Xenopus tropicalis: one gene and its partners. The protein of the gene in region 7 binds, or shares a complex with, the protein of the main gene of each other region. Links are inferred from orthologs where the notes say so. Each region holds a gene or a part of one and is shown on either strand. Other genes may lie near its edges.

Region 1 (3,964 bases), on a different chromosome or scaffold from region 7:
ACTCATCCAGAAAGAGCGAGTAAACTCGTTTGATATCATCCACTTGCACCTCGGTTCCCTGAAATGCAAAAATCTGTCAGCCATATAATGTATCATATACCCACCAAGGGGTAAACTAAATTGTGAAATAAATAAGAAAGATGGCCATTGTTTATATGCACAAACTGCAGCTACTTGCCTCAGATTGCTTGATAGTCATAAGCTATTTGGAAACTAGGTAGCAGCAATAATCTACAACCCACATATGCAATGCTGCCTGGACTCTCTAAGAGCTATGGTATAATGATTAAGAGTCGTTCTAGGCTCACCTTCCTCTTCCTGCAGACCAAGCTAGCTGCTGTTATTAGTTGCATGGAATATCTGAGGGAGGTCTCTAGGCCAATCCTTGTCAGAACAGTGTAAGCATCTTCAGTCATATCCACGTCTTCCTCCTCGCACCTGAACAAGATGTGGAATTGTTTCAAAATTATTCAAGGGCAACTCCACCCAAACACAACTTAAGTTTTTTGAAAAGAAACAATTTCAAGCAACTTCGCAATATACATCAATTAAAAAATATGCAGCCTATTCATGATGTTTAATGTAATATGGTTTGGAACAGTTCCCTAAGCCCCGCCCCTGTTCCCCTGCTGATCTGGCGGACTACTTTGAGACTCAAATAAAATGTAACAGTAGTTGACTGTCCTAAGCCTGCATCATCCAAATCCCACAATGCCCTGCACAATAAGGAAAGGAACATCGCAGTGAAATGCATTGTGGGTTATGTATTTCCTGCATGCTGTCTGTAAGCTGTGAAGAAGTTGTTATAATTTGTTTTTTTAGTCCCTCCTCCCCTGCCAGGATTTCAAACAATGCAGAAAGAGAAGAACTGTTTTGCAGCTGGATTCCAGAATATAAAAATAGTGTTGTGTGGGGCTCTTTAACACATTTTGGATCTGAAGTCAGAGTTCCCCTTTAACGAGAAACAAGTAGAAAAAAAAAAACAATAAGAAAGTTAATTATATAAATGGGCTTGCATTCCACTGGATGGTGTCATTTAAGGGGTAAAGACGACGATAGTAACATAGTAAGTTGGGTTGAAAAAAAGACACGTGCCCATCAAGTTCAACCATAATGCCTATATATAACCTGCCTAACTGCTTGTTGATCTAGAGGAAGGCCAAAAAAAAAACCCCATCTGAACACACTCTAATTTGCCACAGAGGGGTAAAAATGCCTTCCTGACTCCAAGATGGCAATTGAACCAGTCCCTGGATCAACTAAGAGCTCTCTCCCATAACCCTGTATTCCCTCCTGTAGTAGTTCTACACAATGCCATATAATGCCTTTTGGCTCTCAGGCCTGTACCCTCAAAAGTCATTAAATGCAGTTTCTTACCTGATCTTTAGGATCTGTTTGGTCTCTTTTTCATTGTATGGTGAGGTGGAGATAATGAGTAATCGATCCAGTAAATCAATAGGAATTCCATGGGGACTCTGGTAGTTTGTGCCCCGAATTCTATTTTAAAAACATTAAAAACAAAAGAATGAAAGTCCAGAATATGTTGGTACTTTATAAATACAATGGTCAGACACCAAAGCAAGCAACATTAGTCCAACTGCAGCATCTTCCCAGGGACACTTGTCTGTATCTAGGACTGTGCTAAGAACAACCAACCAAGCTGGTCAAACTGATAAAAGGTTACTGCACGGATTCTTTATATGAGCTGCACCTTGCTCAGCACAACAATGTGAACAATGTGACAAGATCCTATCAGAACCATTGCACACATTGCAACACCTATAATATCTCTTCACACAGAAGGAAAACCTATCTGTAAGCTTTGTGCCAATGGGTGTGACATAAAAAAGCAGCGACGTGTTAAAAGCACAGTGTTCCCAAGAAAGGAGCCCAACTTTCTGGTAGACCCAAAGGTGCCCATACACGGCCGATTCTAGCTGCCGATATCGGTCCTTTAGACTGATTCGACAGCTAATCGGCCCGTGTATGGGCACTACCGATGTGCCTTCCAGACAGATATCTGGCCTGAAATCGGGCAGGTTAAAAAATCTAGTCGGATCGGGGACCGCATCGGCTCTGCCTATACCCTTCGTTATAATAATACCGAATTTGCCTGGATTCTCCCAATATCGCCCACCCGTAGGTGGGGGATATCGGGAGAAGATCCGCTCGCTTGGCGACATCTCCAAGCAAGCGGATCTGAAGGTGTATGGGCACCTCAAGGGTTATCAGGTCAGATAAATCTCTCACACGTCCTTCAGATCGAGACAAAGCGTGAAATAGACTGGAATGAAACCATAAAAGAGTTCTACACACACCTTGCAGATAAATGGCCAAGTGCAGCGGCTGCGACCTACCTGGTTATTCCTCTGTTGGTGGCCATTATGAGAACAGGGGCCATGTCACTTTCCAAAGCTCGATTCAGAAAGGAGAAGCATTCTATATCCAGCATGTGCACCTCATCTATGAACAGCACCTGTTGAGCACCAAAAAAAAAAAAACTAATCAAAATTAAACTTAAATTTAGTTTAAACTGCGGAACTACCAAGTATTTTTCATGCAGCTTTAAAGCATGAGGATCTGTAAAGGCCCCAGAATAACATACCCTTCACCCTGCATGTAGATTTATTTTGTTTCTCTATTACAAGCAGCTGTAGTGCTAATCTTTTACAGACTTCCTTGCCTAGAGTGAAGATTCACCCCTTTTTTTCTGAGCACTCCTCTCTCAGACTATGAAGACCTCAACGAAGTGCCTACTGGACATGCCTCTGCACCAATTAAAACCAATTAGGCATGCACAGTAGGCACCTCTTTAAGGTCAGAGAGAGAAGGAGGGCAGAGAAAGCAAATGGGGGCGGAGCTTCAGGCTAGACAAGAAAGTTAGTAAAAGAGCTGCAGTTCAGCTGCTTGTAATAGAGAAACAAAATAAATGAGAAATTTTAAGTTTTTTTTTAAACTGTAAAAATTCCGTAAAATATATATCCAAAGTAGTTATATTGTTTTAGCAACAGCTTCCTGCAAGTTAAAAAAAAAAAAATAAAAAAAAATTGCTTCATAACAAGGACAAGTGTTTAGCTATGTATAGCTACAGAGGGCTTGCAGGCAAAGATAAAGAACAAGTTACCAAACGTTGCAGCAATATGAAAAGCAACTTTTTATCTTCTCTACAGAAGCACAGTGTGCTTTCTTATGCAGCCCCTTATTCCCATAACCTTGGTGCGAGCGGCCAAATTATTCCCGACAGAGCAATCTTGTTGTTTTCTAAGGCATTGGCTAAGAGTGCCATAATAATGAACTCTGCTACCCAAACACACATCTGGCCAAGGACAGCCAATGATGATTTTACTGTAAAGCTAAGGTAAACACTGGTGCTCTATGTTTTATTCACTATACACATTATCTATTTATTTATTTTTCTTATTTCAAATATTGTGTACAAAAAGAAATCAACAGAAGATCAACAACTTACACCAGGAATAATCTCAGCCTTCCCTTCCTCTCTCCATTCTGCAACCTTTGCATTGATCTGTTCTCGCACCTCTGATTTAATCTCCCCTGTGTCTCCTAAAACAGAAAATTCCATTATGTTAAAGGAACAGTAACATCAAAACATAAAACTGTTGGAATACCTAGTAAAGTAATGGAAATATAATGTACTGTTGCCCTATACTGGTAAAACTGGTGTGTTTGCTTCAGAAACTCTACTATAGTATAAAAAAGCTGCTGTGTAGCCACGGGGCAGCCATTCAAGCACAGGATACAACACCGCTTATCTGCCTATATAAACTGTGCCTTTTCTCCTTTTTCCAGGTTGAATGGCTGCCCCCATGGCTAATCAGCAGCTTTTTTTTTATATAAACTATAGTAGATTTTCTGAAGCACCAGTTGTATCAGTGCAGTGCAACATTAAATGGGATTTTAATTACTTTACAATGCTTTCATTTTGTTGGTGTTGCTGTTCCTT
Region 2 (4,431 bases), on a different chromosome or scaffold from region 7:
TTCCGCTTAGGGCACCCATTTGGCCAGCAGCGGCCCTGATCCCCTACCTGTATATGTTTCCCTATATTTACAGTGTAGCTGGGTAACAAAAGACACAAGGCCACATGCCATAGAAACCTGAAGGGATAATAATGTAATACCCCTGTAATTCCTGTAAGGGGAGCCCTGAACACAAGAACAATCCCATAACACTGTACGGTTTAAGGCAGTATAAAAGGGTATGTAGGCATGGGCTGGGAGTAAATATCAGCTTGCTTGGCATTTTACATGCGATGGGTGTGTGGCAAACACAGTCGGGGCATTACCTATAATCTGCCCCTCCAGCTCTACCATTATGGTCACATGGTTCTGGTATGAGGTTAAGGATATTTGGAGTCTCACAGCTGCGACTTTTGGGGTAGTCCAGGAGATATAGGGGGTCACAGTGGCCATGTCTTACTGGAAAAGTGAAGGGGTCCTAAATGGTTTTGCTATTAAACCCAAACGAGTCTAGTGGCAGCAGTGCAAATGTGTGTGTGACGTGACTGATGCTGAACTACAGTTTTCAACAGCAGCGCCAGTTGCAGGGAATCGTACACGGCGTAGGAGCTGCCATACAAACACACCGATCAGTACGGGCCGAGCTCCGGCTACAGGACTGGGTACTAAGAAGCAGCGCTGCTCTATTTCCAGGAAAGGGCGCTCTGAGGTCACAATTCCCCACCCCGAGTCGGGCTAGGACTCTCCGTTCTGCCTGCAGGGGGCCCCCGCCGCCTCTCACCGTAGCACCCGCCCAGCACCGGGAGGGGACGGGATCCGGAAAGAGCAGACGTATCCCACCCCCGAAAGGGAGGAACTTCTGGCTGGGAGCCGGGATTCCTGTTGGGCGCGTCGGGAAGCAGCAGCGATGCGGTCCCGGTAACTGTACAACCCTAGTCCGGTGCGAGGGAGGATTAGCGCGGCAGCGACCCCCAGGCAAAGCCGGGTTCCTAGCCGTAAGGGCGGCCCGACTGAGCACTGCCGCATACCCAGCGGTACTCTCCCGTCTCCAGTCCCAGGGAGGGGTCGCTCCAACCTGACACAACCCACTGACTCTACCGAAGAACCGTCTCACCCGGGAACCCCTGACCCTAGCGAGTAATGCCTGCGGGGCTGGTCCTTACTGGACCAAAACACCAGCTTTCCGGGCACCCTATCCCGCTTAGTCCAACCCCCACCCCGGGCTCTGACTCTCCGTACCAGTAAATAGCATCTTTTCGAGCCCCCGTCCGTAGCGAGGAATACACCCTAACCTACCGCCCGCTTCCGAACCAGCGGCTCCCGAGAAAAGCGCTCCCCCCTTTGTTATGGACCAGCCGTAGCTCCGGCGTCCGCTCCTTCCCTGCCGCGGCACGGCTTCCACTAGTACGGATCAGCCCATTCCGCGACCCAGGGGGAGCCTCCGCCTTAAAACGCTTTTCATTGGGATCGCTGGTAGCCCCGACTCGTTCACCCTGTGCCGGGAAGCCGCTTGGGCTGCCTTGAGCAAGGTGCGGGGAAAGGCTCCGAATCGGATTCGGCTAAAGCAGAGCCCGTATGGTTAAACCATCAGACGATCCAGTCGGGCTGCCTGCGGTAGTATAATGCGCCACAGGCTCGGCCGACTTTCACCCACCTCGTTATTTGCCCACAATGGGTCCCTTCGCTTCTACCCGCGAATGATTCTTTCGCTCCCCGTTAGACACCGGCCGACTGCCTCCTTAACTACCGGCAGCGCAGTCCAGGCAGCATCTGTTCTTCCCGGGAAACAGGGTCACCTTCTACCCCCTCTCCGCTCCTACTCACCGTGAGAAGCGCCGTCCCCAGCCCGAGTCCCCTGCCAGCCCACGTGTCGCGCCCGGAAGCCCCGCAACAGCAGCCGGACGCCCCCTCGCGTTTCCCCGCAATATGCACCCGAGCCCCGGCCAGCTCTGCCTCATGTTCCCGGCCCCCTCCCTTCGGTGCTCCGAGCCGTGTCGGCGCAGCTCCCCGCAATCTTCCCGGGCACCCACCTCTCTGCTCCCCTGGGAACGTCTCTCTCCTTCCCCCTCCGCAGCTCTTACCTTGTTCCCAGCTGCCGGGCCTCACCTTCCGGCCAAGGGGGGAGGAGGAGCCGGAGACTCGGGGGAGAGCGACCTCAGCAGCCCCAGCGCGGAACTAGCAGCCTCTTCCCGAGAAAAACAAGCCAAAGCCCGAGGGGAGGGTGCCTGGGAGAGGGCGCAGCGGGAACCCGGGCTGCTATTGCCCTTATTGGGTTCCACACTGCCCGTCACATACAGTGCCCTTCCCCGCATTAAACAAACCCATGCCCCGCAGGGTGAGCCCGGGCAGGGAAACTGAGGCTACACGTACCTTCCCCATAACCGCAACGGGGTGAGTCGCGCAAGGTGACCGAGAAAAGTGCATGTTTCTCGGCAAGCCCGACTGAATCGTGCCCGCTTGGAGGTGACATTTTCCCCGGGTTTCCCCGCACACTAACGCCCTTCGGTGGCTACAAATTCCCCGGCCGGTAGTGGATTTTATACTAATCCAGCGATCTGTGCCGTATCCGTCCCCAGGTGCCCGCAGACCCCCAAGCCGGCTTACCCCACTGTCTCTCCCAGGGATGTTGGGGGGAATCTGCTTGTCCGGATCTCGGAGACAAAGCGGCTGCGGCAGCCCCTGGGTAATGGCGAGAGCTCCGGGGGAGGGGGGGCGCTGCCTGCTCCTTCTCCCCGCCCAGCGTCGCTGCAGCAGCAGCCGGGCAGACAGAACGCGGGGAGCCGCCTCCTCCTCCTCCCGCTGCTGCACCCTACACAGCCCGGCAGGGGGGCCTCGCCAGCTCCGGGGGAGTTCTATGGAGCTCAGTGAAACCCACCTCCTGTGTGTGTGTGTGCAGCCCGGGCTCGGCTTCCTCCTCCCCTGTACAAGGCTGGGGAAGCGGCGCTTGAATGATGGCCAGATCTGCAGCGCTGGCCCCGGGCGTGGACTCAGACCCAGTCCCCGCAGAGAGCTCGCACTTCCCCCGCCTCCATCGCTCTCCGTGCCTATACAGCCTTCCAATCAGCCAGGCCCCCTCCAATCTCTCCCTGCAACAGGCTCCAGCTGATCCCTCCATCCCTCCCTTTCCTCCATCCAGCCAGCACCGCAATCTGCTCCCCATTACCAGCTGCCGCTACAGGCACCCCTCACATTCACCTCATACGGCAGCAATTTGCTTCCAGCTGTTGTCCAACTACAGCTCCCAGATAGGCTGTGCGGGCATTCTGGGAGCTGTAGTCCAACAATACAGTGATCATGGTTGAAGCAGGGCTTGGTGGCTGCTCAGATCCGGCGGCTGCTGGCTGCTCAGCGCTTCCAACCATACACAGGCGCTAAACCCCCCATAACAGGTTTTTATTCCCTATATGTTGTTCCTGTCTGACTCTTATTTATCTTCTCCTTTTTTTTAACCTAATTTTTTTTTTGACTCCACCTTTGTTGTTGAAAGCGTCAGAGAGAGGGAGCCAATCATGGGGGAAGCTTTCCTGGCACATCAAGGAGGGTTTCTTCTCTCTCTCTCTTTAACATGAACAGCAATCAGGCATAATGAGCGGGGAGCAGCTAGAGATGCCAGGAGCCCATACTGTGCCAGGGGAAGGGCTTTGCGCCTTACAGTTATTAACCCTTATTTATATGGTACTGACACTGCAGCAATGAGCAGAGATTGTACACCAGCCCCCGCTCCAGTGGAGCTTACAATCTAAGGTTGCTACCACATTCACTAGGGTCAATTTATCAGTACCACTTAATCTGCCTGTATGTATTTGGAGTGTGGGAGGAATCCCAGGGAGTTGCAGCTAGTGCCCAGGCTAGAATGAAACCCAGACAGCAGTGCTAACCAGGGGTGTAACTATATACAGGGTTGAACTGGGGGGCCCTGTCCTGGCCCCCACTGTCTGCTCAACTCCCTCTGCCGTGTGTCTTAGCTTATGTGCAACAGGGGAGAGAGCGCCATGGGTTTTGGGCCCAGTCCAACCCTGACTGGGGTGGGGGGCCCGACTGCAGGGTCTGCTGTGCCTTAGTCCCCCCTCCCAGGCCCCTTTCCTACCTTAAATATACTGGTGCAGTCTGGCCGGATGGAGGGACTGGTTGCGCCGGACCCTCTCAAAAGCTTTTTATGCAGGGGGCAACCAAGTTATGCCACTTGTGCTAACCCCTATGATGCCCATTGGTCAGAGGCATGAACACTGAGACAACACTGAAATCTACTTTTGCTGGCCCAGTTTGGTTTTTCGGGCAATGTTGAACTGGGCCGGCAGGGCATGGGGAAAAAACAGTGACTCCCCTTGCAGGCACTGGCGCTCCCCCCCTCCCATTGCGGCCGCTAGGAGGAAGTCACACAGTGGTGGCGGGAGAAGCATACAAAAGCAGCTCACGACTGTGGTTGGGGGCCCCCATGCAGCAGCCCCAGTA
Region 3 (4,645 bases), on a different chromosome or scaffold from region 7:
ACATTTTATTTGACAGGCACAAGATCATAATGAATTATGTAATTCCTAAACAAAAATAATGGCAATGAAGTAAATAATTTCCATTTAAGTTAAAATAATATTACATGGCAATGCAATATGCCACTTTTGCAACCACAGAGAGCCAGCCTATAGTTTTATTCATTACCTTGAAATAAACTGATGTAGATATCAGTATTCTAAGACAATTTGCTATTAGCCTTTATTTTTTATGCTTTCTGAAATATTTAAATTTTTTGCTTTGCAACTCTCAGGCTCGGAATACTAACTGCTATCTGGTTGCTAGAGGTTATATACCCAAGCAACTAGGCAACAGATTAGAAGACAGAATAGATCAATAATAGTGGACCTAAAAAATTAATAAATTATAAAAATCATAATACAATGAATCTGTTGATCTGTTTTGAGATGCTTGGGGTCAAAAGCGCCATAAAGGCCAAATGATTTTTTGACTGGAAAGATGAAAAATATTGAATGCTAAATATAAAACAAATACACAAAAAATAAGTCTAATTAAAAGGTTACTTAATAGAGGTCCAGCTATAATTTACTAAATGTTAATAACACGAGGAACATCTGAACATCCCAAATAGCATTGGTGATTGGCTCAACGCACTGTAGACTGCAGCTGAGCATGCTAATGATCCAGTAAGAATACAGAGTATGTACTGACATTTACATGTGGGAATGTGGGAGTGAAGTTAACAGTTGCAGACGTGACACACGCAGCAGGTGCTAACACAGTATCACAGTAATACAGTAGCACAGAAACACAGTACGAGAGTAGCACAGTTTAACACAGACAGTAGTACAGTAACACAGTAGCACAGTAACACAGACAGTAGTACAGTATCACAGTATCACAGTAACACAGTAGCACAGTAGCACAGTAGCACAGTATCACAGTAGCACAGAAACACAGTAGCACAGTAGCACAGTATCATCACAGTAGCACAGTATCACAGTAACACAGTATCACAGTATCACAGTAACACAGTATCACAGTAACACAGTAACACAGTAACACAGTAGCACAGTAGCACAGTAGCACAGTAGCACAGTAACACAGTAACACAGTAGCACAGTAGCACAGTAACACAGTAACACAGTATCACAGTATCACAGTAACACAGTAACACAGTAACACAGTATCATCACAGTATCACAGTAACACAGTAACACAGTATCACAGTATCACAGTAACACAGTAACACAGTAACACAGTATCACAGTAACACAGTAGCACAGTAACACAGTAGCACAGTAACACAGTATCACAGTAACACAGTAACACAGTAACACAGTAACACAGTATCACAGTATCACAGTATCACAGTAACACAGTAAAACAGTATCACAGTAACACAGTAACACAGTAACACAGTATCACAGTAACACAGTAAAACAGTATCACAGTAACACAGTAGCAGAGTCAGGCTGATGAAAGCTTTCCTCCTTGGAAACGTACAGTCCCCACGTGCATTTGCTTCCTAGTTACGAGATTTCCCAGGTCTCATGCTCGCGAGAGTTTGAGGTGAATTTCCTTCCGTGCCTGAGTGGCTCATGCGAGTGGGACTCTCAGAGTCGGGGCCCGAGAAGGTGGGACCACGGTCGGTTCCCGAGTTCCGGGGCAAAGGGGTTTGCGACGGACGGAAAGCATGGAAGAGATAAGGGAGGGTACGAAACTGCTGAGCTCCAGTGATGTGGCCAGACTTCAGGAAGAGCATGGAAAGGTAAACAGAGGACGAGTGCCATGTTACACATGTGAATGTGGCAGAGCATAAGCCAGCCAGGGCAGAGCGCTTATGCACTAGGGTACAAGTGCGCCCAGCGGGCTTAGGGCAGCCTGTACCATGGTTAATATAGACAGTATGGGCTTGTTCCCCAGCAAAGAGAAGAGCACACAGTTGGAATAAACCACTTAGCAGCACATCACTCATTTGCTTTTTATCACTGTAACTTTTAGACTAGTCGGAGCCCATTGTTTTGTACAAAATGGACTATATTTGGGCATTATGACACAGGGCCATTATGACACAGGGCTGAGCATTGGCCATCAGGAAGGTAGCACAGGAAACTGAGAAGCAAAACAAATAAAGGAGGATGTATGTTATTGAGCAGGATGTACAGCTACTGAAAGTTATATAAGTTCCACTTGCACCAGAATATGCAGCTTAGTATTACCATTGGCGCTGCCATAAAATCTGAAAATGTTAAGGTGTAAATGCTTAATCCCATAGGGAACACAGTACTCTGTCATGTCTGTGCACATTTGACAGGTACCCTGTTTATAAGTTAGGGTCAGGCAGTGAGACGCTTCCAGCATCTTTTTAACAGGAGGGCTACAGTATGCACAGCCATGATCTAACTCAGCCGGTTGACTTTGCTAAGCATAATGTACCACTGTGACCTTTGAGTTGACTCAAATTCAGTGTTGTGCTCCATAAGAAATAAAAGTTACATTGGGCATAAAATTGACAACAATTCAGTAAATAAAGCTTGTTATCTTATAAAATTGCAGTTGTCTTAAAAGTGGCAGGACTTGCACCTTTTTTGAGCAGTAATGCTGTGCCAGCTATTAATGCAAACACCAGAGTACCTCTTGTAGCAGGAACAGTCTAAATGTCATAGGCAGTGCTATTGGTATGGCATGAGGCATGTAAATACCTTCTGTTCTCAGAAGGCCTCACACTTCATGTCTTGCAATGTAAAGGACAATTTGGCTCCTTTTACCTCTTCTCATCCTAACCAGGTCAGTTCCTCTGCTTAGCAGTTCACTTACTAGTATTACTGGAATCGTAGTTGAGAGCAAAGAGGCAATAATATAGTTATCTTGGACTCTACAGTGTTCATTGAAGCTGTGTAAGGGTGAAGACACATGGAGCTACTTAGTAGCAGCTACTTGTAATGGCTACTAAACTCCAGAAAATACCATACCATAGATAATACTGAGAATTGCCTCTTCTAACACACACGTAGAGACAATTATCAGTAAATGATCAGCACTGTCTATTTTTGTAGCTGCTACTAATAGCTCCTTGTATCTTCACCCGTATTGTTATCCCTTTAATAATCCATGCTGAAAGCTTGTACCTGAATCCTTTGCCTACAATTAGAAAACTGAAGAGCTAGCCTAGGAAGGATGTGAGCATAGTGTTCCTAATGGAAGGAGTGAGCAAGTTTTGCATATTTTTAACATATTGTAAATTTGGTGGGCTGTAAGCACAATGACTGAGCATATTTTGTACTGGTGCACATGCAGTGCAGCAAGACAAAAGGGTTAATTTGCAAAGAATTATAAGCTTATATAATGCTGAATATGACATTCTTCCAAGCTTCTGATTAGAAGCTAAGAGCTTTAAATCTCTAAGTACAAAGTATAGACTGAGGTATTTTAAGAAGGAGTTTTGGATGATTCCGATTCTCAAGTCTTCTTACCCTCTGGTAACACAAGAACACAGGCTGGGGTTTATTTACTGACATAGGGCAAGTGTGCATTGGTTCAGTAAAACGTTGCTGTTGATCAGTTCGCTCATTGAATCAGTTTACTGGATGTAGAATACCAAAGCCCTTATTTGGGTTCCTATGGGCTAACATATTGGTATAACTAGTAATTTTTGCTTGTATTGCATCATCTGTAGAGTTAGGGCTAATAATCCTATTACGATATTACAAAGCAGAATTAGAAATTTTCTGATTTCTCACTGTGTATCACACTGTGCACTGTTGCACAGACTTTTTTTGTTTTTAGTGCATTTGTCACTGTATGTGTATCGAATAAGTCATTTATGTAGTTATGACAAATGTCAAATGGCACATATATGTTTTTGCCTTTAAAATTTATGCCCACTTTTTCTGTACATGCATTTGTCTTCTGGTACAGTATTATGTGTCCCATTGCCCATCAATATAGTTATCTAATTTTGCCCTAAAAGCATGGACCCACAGGAGTGGAGACAAATGCATAATCTAGAAAGAAATCCAGAATACATGTAAAAAGTAATTTGTAGTGAGCCTTAAAGGAGGACTAAAGGAATATTGTCATGTTTTTTTTTTTTCTCCCAAAAAACACATCCATTAATAGAGCTTCTCCAGCAGAATCCTGCACAGAAATCCACATTTGTGCTGCACAGAAATGTAGGTCATAGTAGCTGATTAATAACCATTTCTCAATGCAGAACACATTGGTTTCTATAGTGACATTTATTGTGAATATAATTAATTACAAATATGCTTTATATTAACAAACTAGAATTCACAATATACTGTGCATTGTGAATCAGTCCCTAAGCAAAAGGTGACTGACAGCAGCCCTGAGCATGTTCTGTAACTTAGTAGGTATAAGATGGGGAGCTACTGTTGGTGTCTTTAGAAGATATTTACTTTAAGGGCCGTGGCAGACGGGGAGATTAATCCCTTATCACGGGTGACTAATCTCCTCGATATGCCACCCCACTGGCTATAATGAAAATTGCCAGTGGGATGGCATATGCGGCCCGATTTACATTCTAGTTGGTGGGATGGCATTTTGGGGTGATTAATCGCCCGCGACAAGGGAGATTTGTCGCGGCCAACTAGTATCCCCAAAACACCCAAAACATAAGGAGTAGCATTTATACACTAATTC
Region 4 (4,506 bases), on a different chromosome or scaffold from region 7:
TAGGGCTCAATGGCACTCTGCAGCTCCAACCTGGCCCAAGGAAAGTCACGATACCAAAGCTTGAATGAATCCGAAACTTTCGTACTCGTTGTGACAAATACAATATTGTTGCGTAAATTATGACGCACAGTACGGGAAGAAATCGATGAAAATACGTACAGTTCAAAAACTTAGAAAAAATAAGTAGGAGACAATTGTACTTTGATAAATGTGCCCCTTAGATTATCAATGTTGACATCATATCAAAAATAAATTCAAAGGTGAAAAACTCCTTTAAAAGTTATATCTCTAAAATTATGCTCTAAAGGAAGCCTGACCAAATCTGCATCACTGTCTTAAAACTATAAAAGTCTGAAAGCCAGGCCTATGTGCTATGGGCTATGTCAGGCCTGGACTGCCACTTTCAGTGTTTCAGCAAAACCAGAGACGCTGCAGTATCCTGCAACTAACTCATACTATTGGGCCTGTCGAAGGCTGTTTGGGCCTCAGTAATAGCACGGCAGACTGTGAATCTCAGCCCAGGTGTGGGTTATGGGTATGGCTACTGACTGACCAGGAACTAGTTAGAGCAGGGCCGCCAACTGAACGCCCACAGACAAGATGTGGCCCTCCAAGAAAACCCAACTGGCATCTTTGGATAACATCTCAATGCGGCCAACAAATATGCTAAAAGTAAATATCTGGCCCACTATATGGAAATAATTGGCAAGCACTGACTTAGAGCATAAAACTGGTGCTTTGGTTAGTAAATATATAGTTCTAGTTTCTTTTTCTCTATAGGGCATATTAACTGCAGTGTGAAATTTACAATTTTGACTATTTTCAGCCAACGTGAAAATAAGCCACAACATCGTCAATTTATTAAATCAGGAGAGTACACCACATTTTGGTAAATTAATTTCACTCAATTTCAATTTGGGGAATATTCTATTCACATTATTTTACCAGGTGAAATTTTTCCAGTGACTATTTGCCAATTTATCAAGGAGAGAGCATCAACTTTTGCATCTCATTACCTACGTCACCTCCTCCATGCTAACATTTCACATACCTCATTTCTTTGTGGCATAAATTCTCTAGAAAATCTTCAACACTGCAGTTGTTTGTGAATGGTCACAGGTGTATTTGTATCATTGTTGTGAAAATACACATCATAAATTGGAATTGAACTTTGCGCTATATTATACATACATAGGGACTTATTTATTATAGTTTTTACATCACATACTGTGTCTCATAGAAATTATGTCACTGATATGAAGAAAGACTGGCCAAGTTGGGTCTGTTTACACTGGAGAAGAGGCGCTTAAGGGGTGACATGATAACTATGTATAAATATATAAGGGGATCGTATAATAACCTCTCTGATGCTTTATTTACCAGTAGGTCCTTCCAACGGACACGAGGGCACCCACTCCGTTTAGAAGAAGGGAGGTTCCATTTAAATATTCGGAAAGGATTTTTTACTGTGAGAGCTGTGAAATTCCCTCCCTGTATCAGTTGTGCTGGCTGATACATTAGATAGCTTCAAAAAGGGGCTGGATGGCTTCTTAGCAAATGAGAGAATACAGGGTTATGGGAGATAGCTCTCAGTACAAGTGAGAGAATACAGGGTTATGGGAGATAGGTCTTAGCTCTCAGTACAAGTGAGGGAATACAGGGTTATTGGGAGATAGGTCTTAGCTCTCAGTACAAGTGAGGGAATACAGGGGTATGGGAGATAGCTCTCAGTACAAGTGAGGGAATACAGGGTTATTGGGAGATAGGTCTTAGCTCTCAGTACAAGTGAGGGAATACAGGGGTAGGGGGGATAGCTCTCAGTACAAGTGAGGGAATACAGGGGTAGGGGAGATAGCTCTCAGTACAAGTGAGGGAATACAGGGTTATGGGAGATAGCTCTCAGTACAAGTGAGGGAATACAGGGTTATGGGAGATAGCTCTCAGTACAAGTGAGGGAATACAGGGTTATGGGAGATAGCTCTCAGTACAAGTGAGGGAATACAGGGTTATGGGAGATAGCTCTCAGTACAAGTGAGGGAATACAGGGTTATGGGAGATAGCTCTCAGTACAAGTGAGGGAATACAGGGGTTTGGGGGGATAGCTCTCAGTACAAGTGAGGGAATACAGGGTTATGGGAGATAGGTCTTAGTACAGGTTGATCCAGGGACTGGTCCGATTGCCATCTTGGAGTCAGGAAGGATTTCTTCCCCTCTGAGGCAATTTAGAGAAGCTTCAGATGGGGTTTTTTGCCTTCCTCTGGATCTACTAGCAGTTAGGCAGGTTATATATAGGCATTATGGTTGAACGTAATGGACGTATGTCTTTTTTCAAGTTAACTTACTATGTTACTATGATATCATCAATGCTTCCTTTACTAGTGGTTTAACAGGGTTGTGTTATTCTGAGAAAGGCTTGTGCTGTATATGTACATTAGTGCATATTGATACTATAACAATACTAAGGGGAGGTTCAGGAGAGAGATCAATGGCAGGGCAGTGCAGAGTCCCAGGGAGTGCTCACATGTGTATCTGCTTTTTGATCTCAGACATCTCTACTATACAGACCCACATCAGCAGCTATACCACCCCTTCCTAGACCCCAACTTCCCTCACCTGCACCGCCAGACTCAGCCCCTCTGTCATTGCTTGGTTGAAGGAGTCGATATGAGCCCGAGTGATATCCTGCAGAGGAGGGTGCTGGCTCTCCCCGGGAATCCCATAGTCGGGACTGGTAAGTTTGCCCAGGCTAGGCTCCCTGAGCAGCGCTTGCCACTTAGTGTCCGTTTCCATCCTGCAGTAAGTGGCAGTCAGTTAGCCCTGAGAATCCTGAGCGCCAGGCAAGCAGCCCATGTGCAGGGGAAGGGGCGGGACTAGCCACACGTGTAGCGCTGCAGCCTACTTCCTACTTGGGACGCACTTCCGGGACATGTCACAGCTGTTCTGCTGGTGCCTGGACTCTTGCCGGGTTGGATTGGAAGCTGAGCAGCAGTCGCTCTTAGAAGCCCCTTGGTGTATGTACACAAGCACGTATGGTTCTATTCTGTATGCACTGCTACCCAATGTCCACAGCGTCAGGTTAAAATCAATTCATTCTGGCAGTGTTAACTTTCCCTTTTAAATGGCTATGTTCAGCTATATCGCCTTCACTTAATGTGCCTGTATTGGTCGTTCCCACAGGAAACTTTCTAAAGGGGAGTGGAGGGGGGTAGACAGTAGTTCAAGTAACTTGCATATAGAATGGGGAGGTGGGGTATAATATAATTTTTTTTATTTATGAAGCTCTTCATAACATGCAGATAAAGCTAATGCACTACAACTACCAGCACCCTCCCATCAGTAGCTATCTGGCAGGGTTTATTCAGCAAAAACTACAGGCTACAAGCTAGTTGTCCCTCTATATACACAGTCTGACTTGTTATAGTCTAGGGGTGCATTGCAATATGAGTTCAGTGAATAGGGCATGAGCTGAACATTCTTTTTGCCTATTTTAAATAAGAAACAAATCAATGTTTGGTCACCAAACCCAGTTGAGTTGCCTCCTCACCCTATTTAATACTGGCCACATATAGAATCGATATCCTGCATAGTAGTGATGTGTGGGTCGGGTGGGTTTGGGATGACTTCGGCACATCATTTGCGGGTTGGGTGCGTCCGGTCACCCTCCATGCCCACAACCTTACACAGGGCCGCTGCTGGCCAAATGGGTGCCCTAAGCAGAAATGTACTTTTGTGCCCCCTCCCCCAAATATTACGGAAGTAAAAATAAAATAAAAAAAAAACACCTACTATAGGGGCCCCACACACAGTGCCCCCAATAGCCCCCATAGATTGATTGAACTATCCGGGACAGCGGGATGCGCTATAAAAACCAGCGGGACAGTGTTGGGGGGTATGTTATAATATATAAAAATGGTTTGTTTTTTTTGGAGCAGCTGGGATGGTGCCCCCCTGGGAGTTGGTGCCCTATGCAGACTGAGTACTCTGCTTATAGGGAGCGGCGGCCTTGACCTTACACTGCCAGCTTCCTCTTTCAGCTCTCTAATTTATAGGTGCACGCCCCACCCCTTTTGTGAGGATTTCTAACCCGCACATTACTACTGCATAGCTAGTTATCAGTTAATTTAGATGCAGGCTGAACTGATTTATGTGAAGCCATGCAGCATGTATTTAAATGAATTGCTAACTAGTCATGCAGGATTTGGATTCAATATGTGGCTGGTATTAAAGAGGTGAAGTGGCAACTGTTACAAATAGACACTTAAATTACTCTTATTTACAACTTCTCGTTCCTGCATGGTGGATAATCTGATTACCAGTGCACTGAAAAATGGCCTGCAAAATAGACTGTATATATATATATATATTTTTTTATAATATGCAAAAAAAGTCACAATATTAGGGTGAAGAGAATTGTTTTCCCCTGCAGAGAGACCTGGATACAGGTTCTGATTGGGGTTGGTAGCATTTTGCTTCTTGATCATCTATAAATTAGTTAGGATTTACCTG
Region 5 (3,964 bases), on a different chromosome or scaffold from region 7:
CTGTTGGTGTAAAAAAAAAAAAGGTATACATTGTTTATTATATATATGTCCAAAAAGTGCTGCAAACTGATCAGAGAGAGCATTGTTTTGGGGCCATGTGCATGCTAATAAGCAGCTGACTGAGTCAAACTACTGGCAGCCAATATCTGCCTTGTATGATAACTTTAGTTTTGTTTTAATCTTTCTCCTAATTTTTATTACAACTGAATAGCAGTGCTGTGTTAATCTTCCATTTTTCCATACTAGCAATACATGGCAGGTTGTTAAGTGTTTGTTAATATTAACGTTTTGGATGATATTTGACATGATTTTAATTTAGCTGGGCGAGTTTTAATGACATGGAGAAAGCCTTTTTATAAAGTCCAATTCATGAAGAACATATGGTTATGGCATTTAGAGCCATCTGACACCTGATATTTGCAATGCTAATTAAAATGGACATGCAAAGTAGTGGAACCCAATGTCAAAAGAAAGCAGCAATGAAAACACCCTTTGTGCCATATATATATATATTTATATATATAAATATATATATAATATATAGTATCCCTATTTATATTTATAACATATATATCCACCCACTCACCTTTCTTTGAAACACAAGGCCGAATTCACGCAAGTGTTGAAGAAAAGTAAGTAAGGAATCACTCATCCCTTCCACAGAGTAATCCTTTGGATGGAACAGAAAGAGTTTGTACACACAAGAAAGTAACATTTGATTTCCCTCTTTTCCCACACCTTGCTCAGGCAACTCATCAGTCTAGCATTTTATATAGGAAAGCAATTGCTTTATTTTATTAATACACAGACAGGAAAAGTAAAGTCTGTCCCTGTATGTGTATTAATAATTATATAGGTAAAGTCTTTAATACCAACAACATCAGTCAGAGAAAAGAATGTCAAAAGTTGACAGAATGGCAGGTGGAATGTTAACCTTCCCTTGTGGCCTTGTGCATTGATATGCTCATAGAATTCCTCAGTGACTTCCAATATCTTCATAGTTACAATAGGTGGTACATTATTCCATATTTCAATAATGATATTGTATACCTCCCAATGCACAGCCCCGTCCCATAGACCCAACTGGCATCCATATCCTTTGCATTCATACTGGCTCCTCTTAAATACTAAAAATCCTACAGTTTGGGCCCATTCTTTGTGTTATTCATCTGTGGCACTCATTAGTCTTTTACACTGATCTCAAATGTTGCAGCATTTTAGCTTACCTTTCCCAATGTTGAGAAGCTTAACTGGAACATGAAGGAGAGTATTTCCACCAGAATCATCCCACGAGACTTAAATAAACAAGGCCGTATTATTAATTGCAAGATGAGAATATGATACTTATTATATATAATATAATAGCATCAGTTTATACACTAAACCATTTAGAGACCTAACAGTAACAGTCAAACAGCAAAGTCTCAGTCCATTTGCCATTAAGTTATTTCATTTATACGAAGAAACTTCTACAATTTCACCTGCCCCCTCTAAATGTAATGTGGCTAAACGTAGGCTTTGCACCATGCTTAATAAACAAGCCCTAGTATGTGTCAAGTAGGTATCTTATCTAGGGGCACTGTATTGAGTAAACTGGACATTACTAGGTTGATTTAGACCAGGGGTCCCCAACCTTTCTTAATCGGAAGCCACAATCAAATGTAAAAAGAATTGGTGCCAAATAAGGGCTAAGACTGGCTATAAGGTAGCCTTTATGCACACTATAAGCTTACAGGAGACTCTATTTCAATGATCCCCAACCAGTGGTTCATGAGCAACATGTTGCTCACCGACCCCCTTGCCCGACTTGTGGCAAGTTTTGGTTGAAATAAAACAAGATTTACTACGAAATAAAGCCTCCTGTAAGCTGATAGTGTGCATAGAGGCTGCCTAATAACCAATCTTAGCCCTTATTTGGCACCTCCATGAACTTTTATGATGCATGTGTTGCTCTCCATGTTGTTTTTCATTTGACTATGAGGAATAAGAAAGGTTGGGGATCCCTGCTTTATTTGGTAGTAAATCTTGTTTTTATTCAACCAAAACTTGCCACCAAGTCAGGAATTCTATAATAACTACCTGGTTTGGGGGCACGGAGAGCAACATCCAAGGGGTCGGTAAGCAACATGTTGACCTTTTTTGGCATAGGTGGCAAAGGATGAAGAAAATCATCTCATTCTTTAATAGGTGAGGGAATAAATGATCGCGGATACAAATATGTGACAAAAGATTTACTTACCTCTGCGGATTTGAGATATTGAAGCATAAAATACCAGAGCTGAGAAGGTGTGTCCAAAAGCAAAAATTGGAAGCCAGCTGATGAAATACAGGGGGCTTCCCCAGACTCACTACAAGAAAAATAAAATGCGCAGAACGGAATTAGTAAAAACACACATATATCTTTATGAAAAACACAAAAATAGCATCACGGGGTGTATTTTCTAAAAAGGAGCAAGTTTACCTCAGTGAAGCAACTCAGCACAACCAATCAGCTATTATCTGTGATCAGTCTCTTGCAGGTAGATTAACAATAATATATTTTTGATTGGTTGCTATGACCTACTGCAATTGAACAAACTGAACCACTGTAAATACATAAGCCCCACAAATTACAACTGAATTACAAAAGGTTGGCTCATTAAAACATTAATTTTATGATCTCAAATTTATGTCTGCTTGTGCTTTGGCACATAACCATAAACAAGCTGCATCAGACAGGTTTTAACCCAGAAATGCTCAAAAGCAATATAACAGGTGGTTTCCTACTAGCTGAAATATGCTGGCAGAAAAATGTTATGTGCAGAAAGAATCACCGGCCCTTTTCTATTTAAATGACAGATATATCTCCAATATTATGTATACACAACAGAGGGGTAGCTGATGTTTCTCTGCTGTTGTATATGGTACTTGTGCCACTGGCCTGATATTTACATTGGTTTGAAATTACTCTTCAGGTTTATGCTATTTTTCAGGATTACGGCTATCCTTTACCTACAGCAATCCCCAATATATTTATATATATGCCGTGAACACAAAAATAAATGACTTGGCCAAATGACACATAAGTCGTTTTTTTAATAAATAAGATATGTGAATATAAGTTATATACATAAGGATGTTAATAAGTATACTCAGAACAAGCAATGCGTGCAATGAGAACAGGTCTTACCTTTTCATAAGGCCGGCCTGTATAAGCAGTTGTGCCAAGTCCTGGCTAACAGCAGCACTTGGAGACCCAACCATAAAATGTAAAATAACCTAATACAAAACACGAAACATAATAGTTTTATTACATTAGGGATTAGAACAAATTATAAATAAAACACACAATAACAGAATTTTTTATTGAACAAATCTATTCAAATGGGAATGTTAAAGACAACATTTATAATGGTAAGCCACACAGTTACTGGGTTACTAATGATTACTGCAGATGTACAATACAGGTATGGGGATCTGTTATCCGGAAACCTGTTATCCAGAAAGCTCTGAATTACGGAAAGCCTGTCTCCCATAGACTCCATTTTAATCAAATAATTCAGATTTTTAAAATTGATTTCCTTTTCCTCTGTAAAAATAAAACAGTACTTGATCCCAACTAAGATATAATTAATACTTATTGGATGTAAAACAGTCCTATTGGGTTTAATTAAATTTTTATTGATTTCTTTAGTAGACTTATGGTATAAAGATTCAAATTATGCAAAGATTTTGCAGAGTACCCTTGGTCCCAAGTATTCTGGATAACTGCTCCTATACCTGTACTATAAGTTTCATATCAACACATACATTAACCAAATATTTTAGTTAGCAAAAGAAAAGCAGAAGTATTAAACAAATAAAATAAAGTAGTGCCCACCTCCCATCTCTCTTCTGCATACTTATCCAACGAGACCACATCTTTTCCATGTTTATCAGGGCCTAGTAGGCAACCATCATCTGCCCAAGGTTTTCCCCTATGAAG
Region 6 (4,726 bases), on a different chromosome or scaffold from region 7:
TAGAGTAACCAAATGCATAAACTTGAGTGCAGAAGTAGAAGTTACATCTTTTATTAACACAGCTCTCCTTACCAAGCCTTTGCCTACCCTGCCACAGACAATCTAATGTGGTGTTGCGCACAGTTTATAGATATTGCCTTGTCACTGGACTGATGTTGCGTCGAGTGCGTGTTTTCAGTCGCCTCAGTGCAGAACGTGTCCTGGGAGCGCAGAAGGCCTGTCACAGATATCTGCTGCGCATTTGTTATCTTTACGGAAAACATGGATAAGTCACTAAATCATTCTCACGTACAAAATCCCATCGGTCCAAACAACCACCCAGGCGAGCTAGAAACTTGCAAACAAACACAATAAAACATTACCTTACCCATAGGCGGAGGATGACTTTTTTGTTTGGGGAGGCTAAAGATGGCCCATACACAGACTGACCTACAGCTAATGTGACACTTAGTGGATTCACTGCTGGTGTAAAAAATTAACCTCCCAACTACCTCTGGCAGTTCCCACTGACTCCCAGGGATACTGTGCAAAAGTGCGGCTGGGGGGGATTTTTTTAACCCTAAAATGCTTAGGATGTAAAAGCATTTATACGTGCACTTTTGTTAGGGGTTCTCTATACATTTGTGTTCAGTTAGGTTAAAGGGGTAGTTCACCTTTAAATTAACTTTTAATATGATGTAGACACTGATATTCTGAGACAATTTGCAATTGGTCCTCTTTTATTTTTAATGGTTTTTCGGTTATTTAGCTTTTTGTTCAGCAGCTCTCCATTTGGTATTTCAGCAGCTATCTGGTTGCTAGGGTCTTATATACCAGGTAGTGGTTTAAACAAGAGATGGGAATATGAATAGTTAAGGGGCTGCATGGAAAAATAAAACTGTAGCTTCACAGAGCAATACTTTTTGGTCAGTGACTATCATTTGAAAGCTGGAAAGAGGCAGAAGCAAAAGGCAAATTATTCAACAACTATATAAAATTAACTAGGAAGACCAATTGCAAAGTTGCTAGGAATAGGCCATTCTATAATATACTACAAGTTAACTTAAAAGTGAACCTCCCCATTAGATGTGCTTAAGTTAGCTTTATAGAAAGTGAGGCAGCAGGTACTGACATCCCAGGCACGTTATATACAGTGAGACGCAGTCTTTATATACAAAACCAGCACATTATATGCCATGAGGAGCAATGGGTACAGATGGCAGATATTCAGGCCCTGGCACTATAACACTGGCACTGATACACAGCATTGGCCCCACTGTAACTTACTATAAATAAAAAAAACAATGACAAAAGTAAAAAAAAAATAGAATGTGCAAAAAACCATAACAAATATATAAAAGCACAATGAGCTTTGTCAGGGGGAAAAATTAACTTAGGGTAGGAGATATTATAAATGTCAGATGACAAAAAACAATTTAATTCCAGCTAGTGGGTCAGTCTTTAGAACATATACAGTATAGTACCTGTGGGATGAAAACTGCAGCAAAGTTCAAAGCTGGTTCATGGGTAAACTTACAGTCTGCAGATTCTTCTTTTTTAAGTCTTCATTTCTGCAGTTTGCAAAATTTCCCGATCCCTGTCTGCATCTGTGTCTTGATTGGTCAATTTTACTGTCTGTCAAGAAAGCTGTGCTCTGATTGGAGAATATACAAGAAGAAAGATCCAATCAGAGCACAGCTGATTAGAGCAGAACCCTGAGCTTGCAGGGACAGGAGAAGATTTGCAGCACAGCGCGAAACAGAGCCAGGTTTTTTTTATTTTATTTTTTTATTTTTAGGGTGCCAGAGCAGCCTTATCGAAAATCCGCCTATGCTTTAACCCCTCCTGTTCTGCTCCCGCACTGGCTCTATAGTACAAGCGCACCCTACTGAGGCTTTGTGAGCGCTTCCGGAAGTGTGTCCTTACTAGCGCCCCGTACATTTCTGTGCACCGGCAACTGAGTTCCGCTGTGCTGTGTCTTCCAGGTGCTGCTGCCAGCAATTTCTTGTACTGATCGCTGCCATGGCCGCCGAGAAAGGGGATTTGGACCTGAATGGAGCAAAACAGAATACCGGAATGTGGCTTGTCAAGGTGGGAAGGAAATGCTGTATGGTTACATTGTCGCCTTCCTGACCATGTGATTGGGTAACGCAGGATGCTGGAAGATGCTACTTACAGGGCTTTGTTTGTAGTGTTTGACCCTGTAAACAAGTTGAAGCGATAGGCTGCTTGTTGTGTAGTGAAGATAAATAAGATGCTAGAGTAATTTGTGGCTAGCACCTGTGCCCTATTATTTGGCCTCAGCCCAGTGCACTCATTTTCAGGTAGTAGTTCAAGTTGAGCTGGGTATGATTAGTCTGCGCTACTTGTGCGCTGTGGAGAGGGGACGTATTGTGTAAAAAAACTATTGTGCCAGTCAGTGTCGGACTGCCCACCAGGATACCAGGAAACTCATGGTCTAAGGTTTTCTGGTGGGCCCCTGGGGTCCAAGTCTGACACTGGTGCCAAAATTTTACTCATCTAAATATAGAAGGAATGTGCTTTAAAAAGTAAAAAATAGTGTTTCGGGATGAGAGGATCTATAGGGAGCTCCATTTGTACAGGTAGTATTGATTTTTAGACCTGAGTGAAACCAGCACCGTATTTTATTCATAATTGCCTATGAGATTGGAGTTTTCTTTTATTTTACTATATGTCTCCTTTAACACATACTGCTCTACTTTTGCACCGCAGTTGAAACCCAGGGCAACCAGTAAACACAGGGCCTATCTGCCCTTGTGGCCAACTTATGGGTTTATAATAAGTTATAGATAGGACCGCATATTCCAGTAGTGACACGTGATTAGCTTTCAGGACAATCAGTCTGATCCTTGGTCTTCATCTCTCTTTAAACCACAAATGATGTGTCACATTTCCCATTTTATTCATGTCTTAAAATTTTGAAGATTTTTGAGGTGTGGAGGCAGCCCCGGATTTCTATTTCAGGCCACCCCCTTTCTCTGCCCCCTTCCCCCTCAGAATCTTGCGCATTCTAGCAGCATGCACACAGAGCATACAGAAGGTATACAGAAGTAAACCATGTGTTAGAAAATATACATACCCATAAGCTTAGTAGGAGCTCATTCCGTTTTTAAGGGTCAGGGCTTACGGTTCAGTTGTGTTAAGCTGAATAAATAGTTGGGTGTCTGGATGAATATAAATAATTATGTTTAATGTCACCCATTTAAAGATGAATATCTGTTGATGCCAAAGGTAGGTCGATCCTTAAAAAGGATCTGTGCAGTTTTGCATCCTTTTTTAGTTTTGTTCTGCACCATTTATTTGTCACAGAAGATAAGAAGCACTGCTGTGCTGGTAGCCTGGTGGATAACTGAAAATGCAGACTATTTCAGGAGTAGCTGCTCTGCAGATGTTGCAGTAATACTTGTCATTTCTGCACTGTGCTGAGCACTTCAATGCTAGAACAGCTTCCCTAAGGGCTGTGGCACACGGGGGATTAGTCGCCTGCGACAAATCTCCCTTGTTGCGGGCGACTAATCTCCCCGAAATGCCATCCCACCGGCGAAAATGTAAATCGCCCGCGTCAAGGGAGATTTGTTGCGGGCAACTAGTCTCCCCTTCTGCCATAGCCCTTAAAGGAGAAGGAAAGGCTAAGTGGGTGCCAAAATGTTAGGCACCCCCAAGTGACTTTAATCACTTACGCACCTGGGCTGGTGCCCCTGTTAGGAGAAAACCGCACCAGCCCGGGGTACCTGCGAGCGTCTCCTCTTCCTTATCTCTTCTGTCTTCGGAATCCCTGGGCTTTTATGTTAAAGTTGGGCTTTTCACTAGGGATGCACTGAACCCACTTTTTTTGGTTCGGCTGAACCCACTCTGACGGATTCTGCCGAATGCTAATTAGGATTGAGAAGGGTTAAAAATCCGGCGTGCTAATTAGGATTCAGATTCGGTTCGCCCGAAACCTTCAAAACAGGCTGGATTCTGCCCAAATCCCGAACTTGGTGCATCCCTACTTTTCACTCTACTGCGCATACGCGCGAAGACAGAAGCAGGAAGAGGAGATGCTCTCTTGCAGGTATCCCGGACTGGTGATCCTGTTAGGAGAAAACCGCACCAGTCCGGGGTAGCTGCGAGCGAGCATCTCCTCTTCCTGCTTCTGTCTTCTGTAAAAGGTAAGCGATTAAAGTCACTCCTTACCATATATTACGAGGCATTACAGTAGCCAAATGTCTTTTTTAAGTATGATAAAATTTGGGTTAACATGGTGCTAAGGAAACTAGGTGCTTGCAGATCTAGAGGAAAGCTGAAGTACCTGTTATCTTCCAAACTTAGATTTTTTGATTTTCAATTAAAATCATGGATAGCATTGTGTCTCAATGCTTTGGGACAATGTATCAAAACAGATATTTCACGAAAACTTAAGCGTGATCATCGCATTATTAAGAGATTTTTGGCTGATTCAGAGCACAGACGTGTTCGTGCAGATAAAGGCACATTGTGGAAGATTTCTGCTAGATCCATGCATCGGATCAAGAGAGCAGCTGCTAAAATGCCATTACATAGCAGCAAACAGATATTTGAAGCTGCTGGTGCCTCTGGAGGACTCTACACCTTGATGTCCGTGGGACTCCAAAATCTTGCAACGGTGCATAAACCTTCTATTCGGCCACCACTAACCAATCAGCTGCATTGGGCAGAGAAATACATGAAGACTAATTTTCAAACAGTCCTGTTCACTGATGAGTGC
Region 7 (4,561 bases):
ATATCCCACAACAAAACTGCACAGTAAATTACCTATGCTGGCATAGTTTTTTTGTTATGTACAGCCTTTGAGCACACTAAATGTGTTATATCCCTTTTCGAAATTTACATTTTTCACCTACGTCTGAACTATGTTTGACCCTACTGGCTTTCTTTTAAAAGGTGATTATAGTATCATAGGAGAGGAATGCTAAAGCAGGTAATTGGGAAAGCTGTGGTTATACAAATGTAAAACATAACACCACGTGCATAGCACAAGTATTATCAACTATAACTATTCTTTTACAGTGTGCAAAGGAAACACAAAAAAAAAAAAAAATTAAAATGTAGTGGGCTTTTATTATATTCTGAATTACACATCCTGCCTATCATTTGCTATTAGAGGTACCGAACTACAAATTCATCCAGCAATCGAGCTACAAATGCAACATATTGGGAGTTTTAGTTTACAAAGTTATGGTCAAATGTAAAATCCCTGAGCTATCAGAAATAAACAGTACAGAACTTAATAAAGATGAACTTCTAAACTATATGGACTCACAAAAAAAAAAAAAAAAAGATTTTTGTGGGAAGGTGATACTGTTTATTGGTTAATTAATTTTAAACGGTATCATGTTACCACCTAAAATCTTTTTTCTGAAACTATGGCTAACACATTACAATACTCTGCTGCTACTCATCAAGAAGGCACCTAACGTTCCCATGTGCACCCACCTATTACATGTCAGTGTGTATGGATAACAGAAACGTTTCAGTATGAGTGAAAGTGTTTCTTCCCCTTCTGTATTAAAACTCACCTCATGCTCTGTGATATTAATCAGAAGCTCCTGTTGTAGAAACTGCTCCAGAATGTATTTGGGTGCCATATCCACCAGGGACTGCAAAATAAAGAGATTGCTATAAAGATAGGAAAGCTGGCAGAAGCTTTGGATAGTATTTATTATGGACTAACACCATGTAAACATTTTACTACATTAACTGATAATTTAATAATTAAAATATTTTTTCAGATTTTGGCAGTATTTATCCTATGCATAGGAAACAAGGTTTCAACTGGATTGAAGTCAAAAGGGCTCACTTACAAGAAGTAGGTGCAGAATTGCCAATTTTTTTTTTTAACGTCTTTATTATGATTTAGCATGAAAAGGTTACATTCATATTTATATGCAATGACCGGTCCATCCTCTTTCCTATATCATAGGAGAGAAGGTTTATAGTTGTCCTTTACCTTTCCATCAGGCAAATAAAGTGATTCGATCCTGTTTTTAGAAAACGTGGTAGTAGTATTAAGTAATAATCATACAATATTAACTAGTAACTAATTAACTAGTAAACGTCTGCCTTTATCTTACTTGCCAGAGAACATAAAACGGTAACCTGCTTATACTTGGATAATATGACTATGTTAGTTCATCAGCCAGAATTGCAAATTTTAAACAGCATACGCATATGACCTGCACCTACTTGCACCCAAGCCCTGTGCTTAACATCTGGTTTGACCTGGTGTTATGCAGACCCAGGCTGAGATTCAAAATAGGCCCTAATATTTCAAATACACAAAGGCCCAAACAGCAACTGTCTGTGGGATCTTACAGCAGTTCCTCTGGCATTTGCCAGAATCCACAGACTGGCAGTCTGGGCCTGGTGTTAAAGGAACAGTAACACTAAAAAATAAAAATGTTTTAAAATAATTAAAATATAATTTACTGTTGCCCTGCACTAGTAAAAGTTGCGTGTTTGCTTCAGAAAGACTACTATAGTTAATAGAAATAGCTGCTGTGTAGCCATGGGGGCAGCCATTTAAATTGAAAAAAGGAGAAAAGGCACAGGTTACATAAGAAGATACCAGATAAACTGTGTAGAATACAATGGGAATCTGCTACTTAATTGTTATCTGCTTAGCAACCTGTGCCTTTTCTCTTTTTTTCAATTTAAATGGCTGCCCCCGTGGCTACACAGTAGGGTATTTATATAAACTGCAGTAGTGTTTATGAAGAAAACACACAACTTTTACCAGTGCAAAACAATAGTATATAATATATTAATTATTTTTATACACTTTCATTTTTTGGTGTTACTGTTCCTTTAAGCACTGGGCCTCCTTATGCACTCATAGCCAATCAAGGTTGTGGAAGCTGAACTGCACATGACTGACAACCATGTAAGTGTATGCCTATGCTGCAGGAAGGATGCTGCACTGAGGGGTAATATGGCAAATTGCACTTTTTTGCATTTAGCAGATGAGATCTATAGTTTTAATAATAGGTGTATTCCTTTTTAAAGAAGGGTCTTTCAAACTTATCCCATTTTTAAGATAAAAAATAAAGCTTAGGTGTCTTTTGCCAGCAAAACATACAAATCACATAGAAAATTAATTCATCGGAGTAGTATATATTTTATCTGTACATTTTCATTTATAAAAGCTTTGGATCAGAACTGCAGTTCACCCAGTAAGTATGCTTAGGTAAGGTGCACGTTAGCTGGCAGAATTACCTGTTTGGCAGATGGGGTCATTCCCTGCTGCACCACGATTAAAGCCCTCGTAATGTTCTCCTCCTGCATTCTCTGGCAATACATCTTAATTGTCTTAATGCCAACTTTGGGTTCCTCTACAAATAAGACAGGCAAACATGTAATAATCCTTTGTCTGCATGTATAGACCCTTCAGCCAGTCACTGTTTTTTTTTTTTTTTTTGCACCTACTCACCTGGGAAGAAAACAAACATTTGGTCTGTGGGATCATCATTATGAGCTACTAATACAGTCAGGTCAGTTCGGCGAGGGCGCCCTTCGCTAGGTTTGTCCCCAAACTGGGCTTTAAACTCATCCAGTGTCTGATCCAATTCATCCTGCGTTACTAAGTAACCACGGTCATGGCACAGCTGGCGAAGGAAAGAAGGATGCGAGTGAAACAGGTAATATGGAGACAGATGAGGTAAAGCACAAAAGTAAAAGTGACAGGGACGAAGAGTACAGTAGAAGTATATGCTGGAAGCAGAAATGAATGGTACCCAACACAACGTAGCTGAGTTCGAATTACTGAAAAAGGCGAAGATTATAACACAAAAAGATTTAAAACTCAATTTTCTCACCTGCATAATAGTTTTGCGGATCTTCCACAACCGGTAAGTTTCCTCCTCATCGTCCATGTTGTCTCCACGAGACCAAACAGGAAGAAGAGCGCGATTTCCGGAGCTCGGCTCCCTGGGCTGCAGGAGGACCCTACATGGGCTGCCCTCACTCTGCCTGATGGCTACAAGCGAATACTGCTGTGGGGTATCTCTGAGGACGTGTTATTAGCTTAAAACTGCACTGTGGAAAAGGAATAAAGTTGCGCATAATATCGTTTCCCTTTTTTGCTGAAGGTGGCTATTCGGGTTGTAGAATTTGTTCAAGTTTCGGTATCACGCTAAGGAAGACCAAAGAAATTGCATCGTCGCAGTTGAAGGGCTCGGCCATGTTTGTGGTAGGCAAGAAGCCGGCGTACATGTTCTTGTAAAGATCACCATTTTGTTGGTGGGTATTACTACCGTTCCTATATTCATCGTCTTCGTGTATTTATATTGCGTCACATAGTTACATGGCGCTCTGCATTAATATTATAAGTGGCTAAGTTTAAGAGTTAACCCTCTAAAGGTATAGGGATTAGTTATTGGCAAAAGAGGGTGTGGTAATGTGCCAATGATAGGCTAACTACAAGAATTACGTAAACTAAATATTCTTTAGAAATACTTGTTAAACTGTTTTAAGGCGAGCAGTGTTTTATTAAGATTTTTTTTTATTTTTGCCCCAAGCCCCATTTTGATATATAATATTATCTTTATGTATGTATATATATTTTTATTTATATAGCACTACTTATGTACCCAGCGCTGTACAGTAGGACAATAAATGAATAGAATAAACGGGACTATTACAATAAAATAAATACAAAGTATGATAGTAAATACAAGGTAAGGATACAATACGTTAAATTAATACTGTCACGGGAAAAACGTATTTTTTAAAAACATATCTGTTAATAGAGCGTCTCCAGCAGAATCCTGCATTGAAATCCATTTTTCAAAAACACAAACTGATTTTTTTTATATTTAATTTTGAAATTTCACGTTGGGCTAGCCATATTCTTCATTTCCCAGGGTGCCACAGTCATGTGACCTGTGCTCTGAACTCACACTTTACTGCTGAGCTGCAAGTTGGAGTGATATGAACCCCCTCCCAGCAGCCAATCGGCAGAATAATGGGAAGGTAGCAAGATAGCAGCTCCCAGTAGATCTCAGAATTGCACTCAATAGTAAGAAATCCAATTCCAGCTTGTGACTCCTTCAGTTATATGGAAGTAGGAGAAACAATAGGTTATCTGAAAGCAGTTCCAATGTGTAGCGCTGGCTCCTTCTGAAAGCTCAGACTTGCACAATGCTGCTTATAGACCAATATTACAGCTAAAAAAATACATTTGTTGGTTCAAGAATAAAATGTTAAATGGTAGACTGAATTATTTGCTATGTAAATAGTGTAATTCAGAAATAAAAAGTATACCATAAAAATCACAACAGTATCCC

The links.
Region 1: polr2e (region 7) and ruvbl2 share a complex: the UniProt entries of both Homo sapiens proteins name them as parts of the PAQosome complex. The link is inferred for Xenopus tropicalis from reciprocal best matches to the Homo sapiens genes POLR2E and RUVBL2.
Region 2: polr2e (region 7) and ubtf share a complex: the UniProt entries of both Homo sapiens proteins name them as parts of the pol I pre-initiation complex. The link is inferred for Xenopus tropicalis from reciprocal best matches to the Homo sapiens genes POLR2E and UBTF.
Region 3: polr2e (region 7) and uri1 share a complex: the UniProt entries of both Homo sapiens proteins name them as parts of the PAQosome complex. The link is inferred for Xenopus tropicalis from reciprocal best matches to the Homo sapiens genes POLR2E and URI1.
Region 4: polr2e (region 7) and polr1b share a complex: the UniProt entries of both Homo sapiens proteins name them as parts of the pol I pre-initiation complex. The link is inferred for Xenopus tropicalis from reciprocal best matches to the Homo sapiens genes POLR2E and POLR1B.
Region 5: polr2e (region 7) and gtf2h4 share a complex: the UniProt entries of both Homo sapiens proteins name them as parts of the TBP-based Pol II pre-initiation complex. The link is inferred for Xenopus tropicalis from reciprocal best matches to the Homo sapiens genes POLR2E and GTF2H4.
Region 6: polr2e (region 7) and gtf2f2 share a complex: the UniProt entries of both Homo sapiens proteins name them as parts of the TBP-based Pol II pre-initiation complex. The link is inferred for Xenopus tropicalis from reciprocal best matches to the Homo sapiens genes POLR2E and GTF2F2.

What each region holds. Positions count from the first base shown.
Region 1 is NC_030683.2:113,409,679-113,413,642, forward strand, and holds part of ruvbl2 (ruvB-like 2), read right to left. Parts: intron 3,565-3,964; coding exon 3,470-3,564; intron 2,477-3,469; coding exon 2,358-2,476; intron 1,498-2,357; coding exon 1,378-1,497; intron 439-1,377; coding exon 309-438; intron 59-308; coding exon 1-58. UniProt on the Homo sapiens protein: Possesses single-stranded DNA-stimulated ATPase and ATP-dependent DNA helicase (5' to 3') activity; hexamerization is thought to be critical for ATP hydrolysis and adjacent subunits in the ring-like structure contribute to the ATPase activity.
Region 2 is NC_030686.2:18,522,832-18,527,262, forward strand, and holds the start of ubtf (nucleolar transcription factor 1), read right to left. Parts: upstream 3,011-4,431; 5' UTR 2,584-3,010; exon of another isoform or gene 2,350-2,583; intron 2,215-2,349; exon of another isoform or gene 1,804-2,214; intron 1,776-1,803; exon of another isoform or gene 1,634-1,775; intron 1,573-1,633; exon of another isoform or gene 1,276-1,572; intron 1,183-1,275; exon of another isoform or gene 606-1,182; intron 1-605. UniProt on the Homo sapiens protein: Recognizes the ribosomal RNA gene promoter and activates transcription mediated by RNA polymerase I (Pol I) through cooperative interactions with the transcription factor SL1/TIF-IB complex.
Region 3 is NC_030680.2:71,279,029-71,283,673, reverse strand, and holds the start of uri1 (unconventional prefoldin RPB5 interactor 1), read left to right. Parts: upstream 1-1,532; 5' UTR 1,533-1,676; coding exon 1,677-1,751; intron 1,752-4,645. UniProt on the Homo sapiens protein: Involved in gene transcription regulation. Acts as a transcriptional repressor in concert with the corepressor UXT to regulate androgen receptor (AR) transcription.
Region 4 is NC_030681.2:38,727,727-38,732,232, reverse strand, and holds the start of polr1b (DNA-directed RNA polymerase I subunit RPA2), read right to left. Parts: upstream 2,897-4,506; 5' UTR 2,791-2,896; coding exon 2,614-2,790; intron 1-2,613. UniProt on the Homo sapiens protein: Catalytic core component of RNA polymerase I (Pol I), a DNA-dependent RNA polymerase which synthesizes ribosomal RNA precursors using the four ribonucleoside triphosphates as substrates.
Region 5 is NC_030678.2:143,590,333-143,594,296, forward strand, and holds part of gtf2h4 (general transcription factor IIH subunit 4), read right to left. Parts: intron 3,957-3,964; coding exon 3,860-3,956; intron 3,259-3,859; coding exon 3,170-3,258; intron 2,349-3,169; coding exon 2,240-2,348; intron 1,296-2,239; coding exon 1,227-1,295; intron 671-1,226; coding exon 587-670; intron 1-586. UniProt on the Homo sapiens protein: Component of the general transcription and DNA repair factor IIH (TFIIH) core complex, which is involved in general and transcription-coupled nucleotide excision repair (NER) of damaged DNA and, when complexed to CAK, in RNA transcription by RNA polymerase II.
Region 6 is NC_030678.2:133,829,659-133,834,384, forward strand, and holds the start of gtf2f2 (general transcription factor IIF subunit 2), read left to right. Parts: upstream 1-1,695; 5' UTR 1,696-1,747; intron 1,748-1,964; 5' UTR 1,965-2,001; coding exon 2,002-2,070; intron 2,071-4,726. UniProt on the Homo sapiens protein: TFIIF is a general transcription initiation factor that binds to RNA polymerase II and helps to recruit it to the initiation complex in collaboration with TFIIB.
Region 7 is NC_030677.2:100,196,374-100,200,934, forward strand, and holds the start of polr2e (DNA-directed RNA polymerases I, II, and III subunit RPABC1), read right to left. Parts: upstream 3,159-4,561; 5' UTR 3,149-3,158; coding exon 3,092-3,148; intron 2,882-3,091; coding exon 2,707-2,881; intron 2,609-2,706; coding exon 2,493-2,608; intron 878-2,492; coding exon 797-877; intron 1-796. UniProt on the Homo sapiens protein: DNA-dependent RNA polymerase catalyzes the transcription of DNA into RNA using the four ribonucleoside triphosphates as substrates.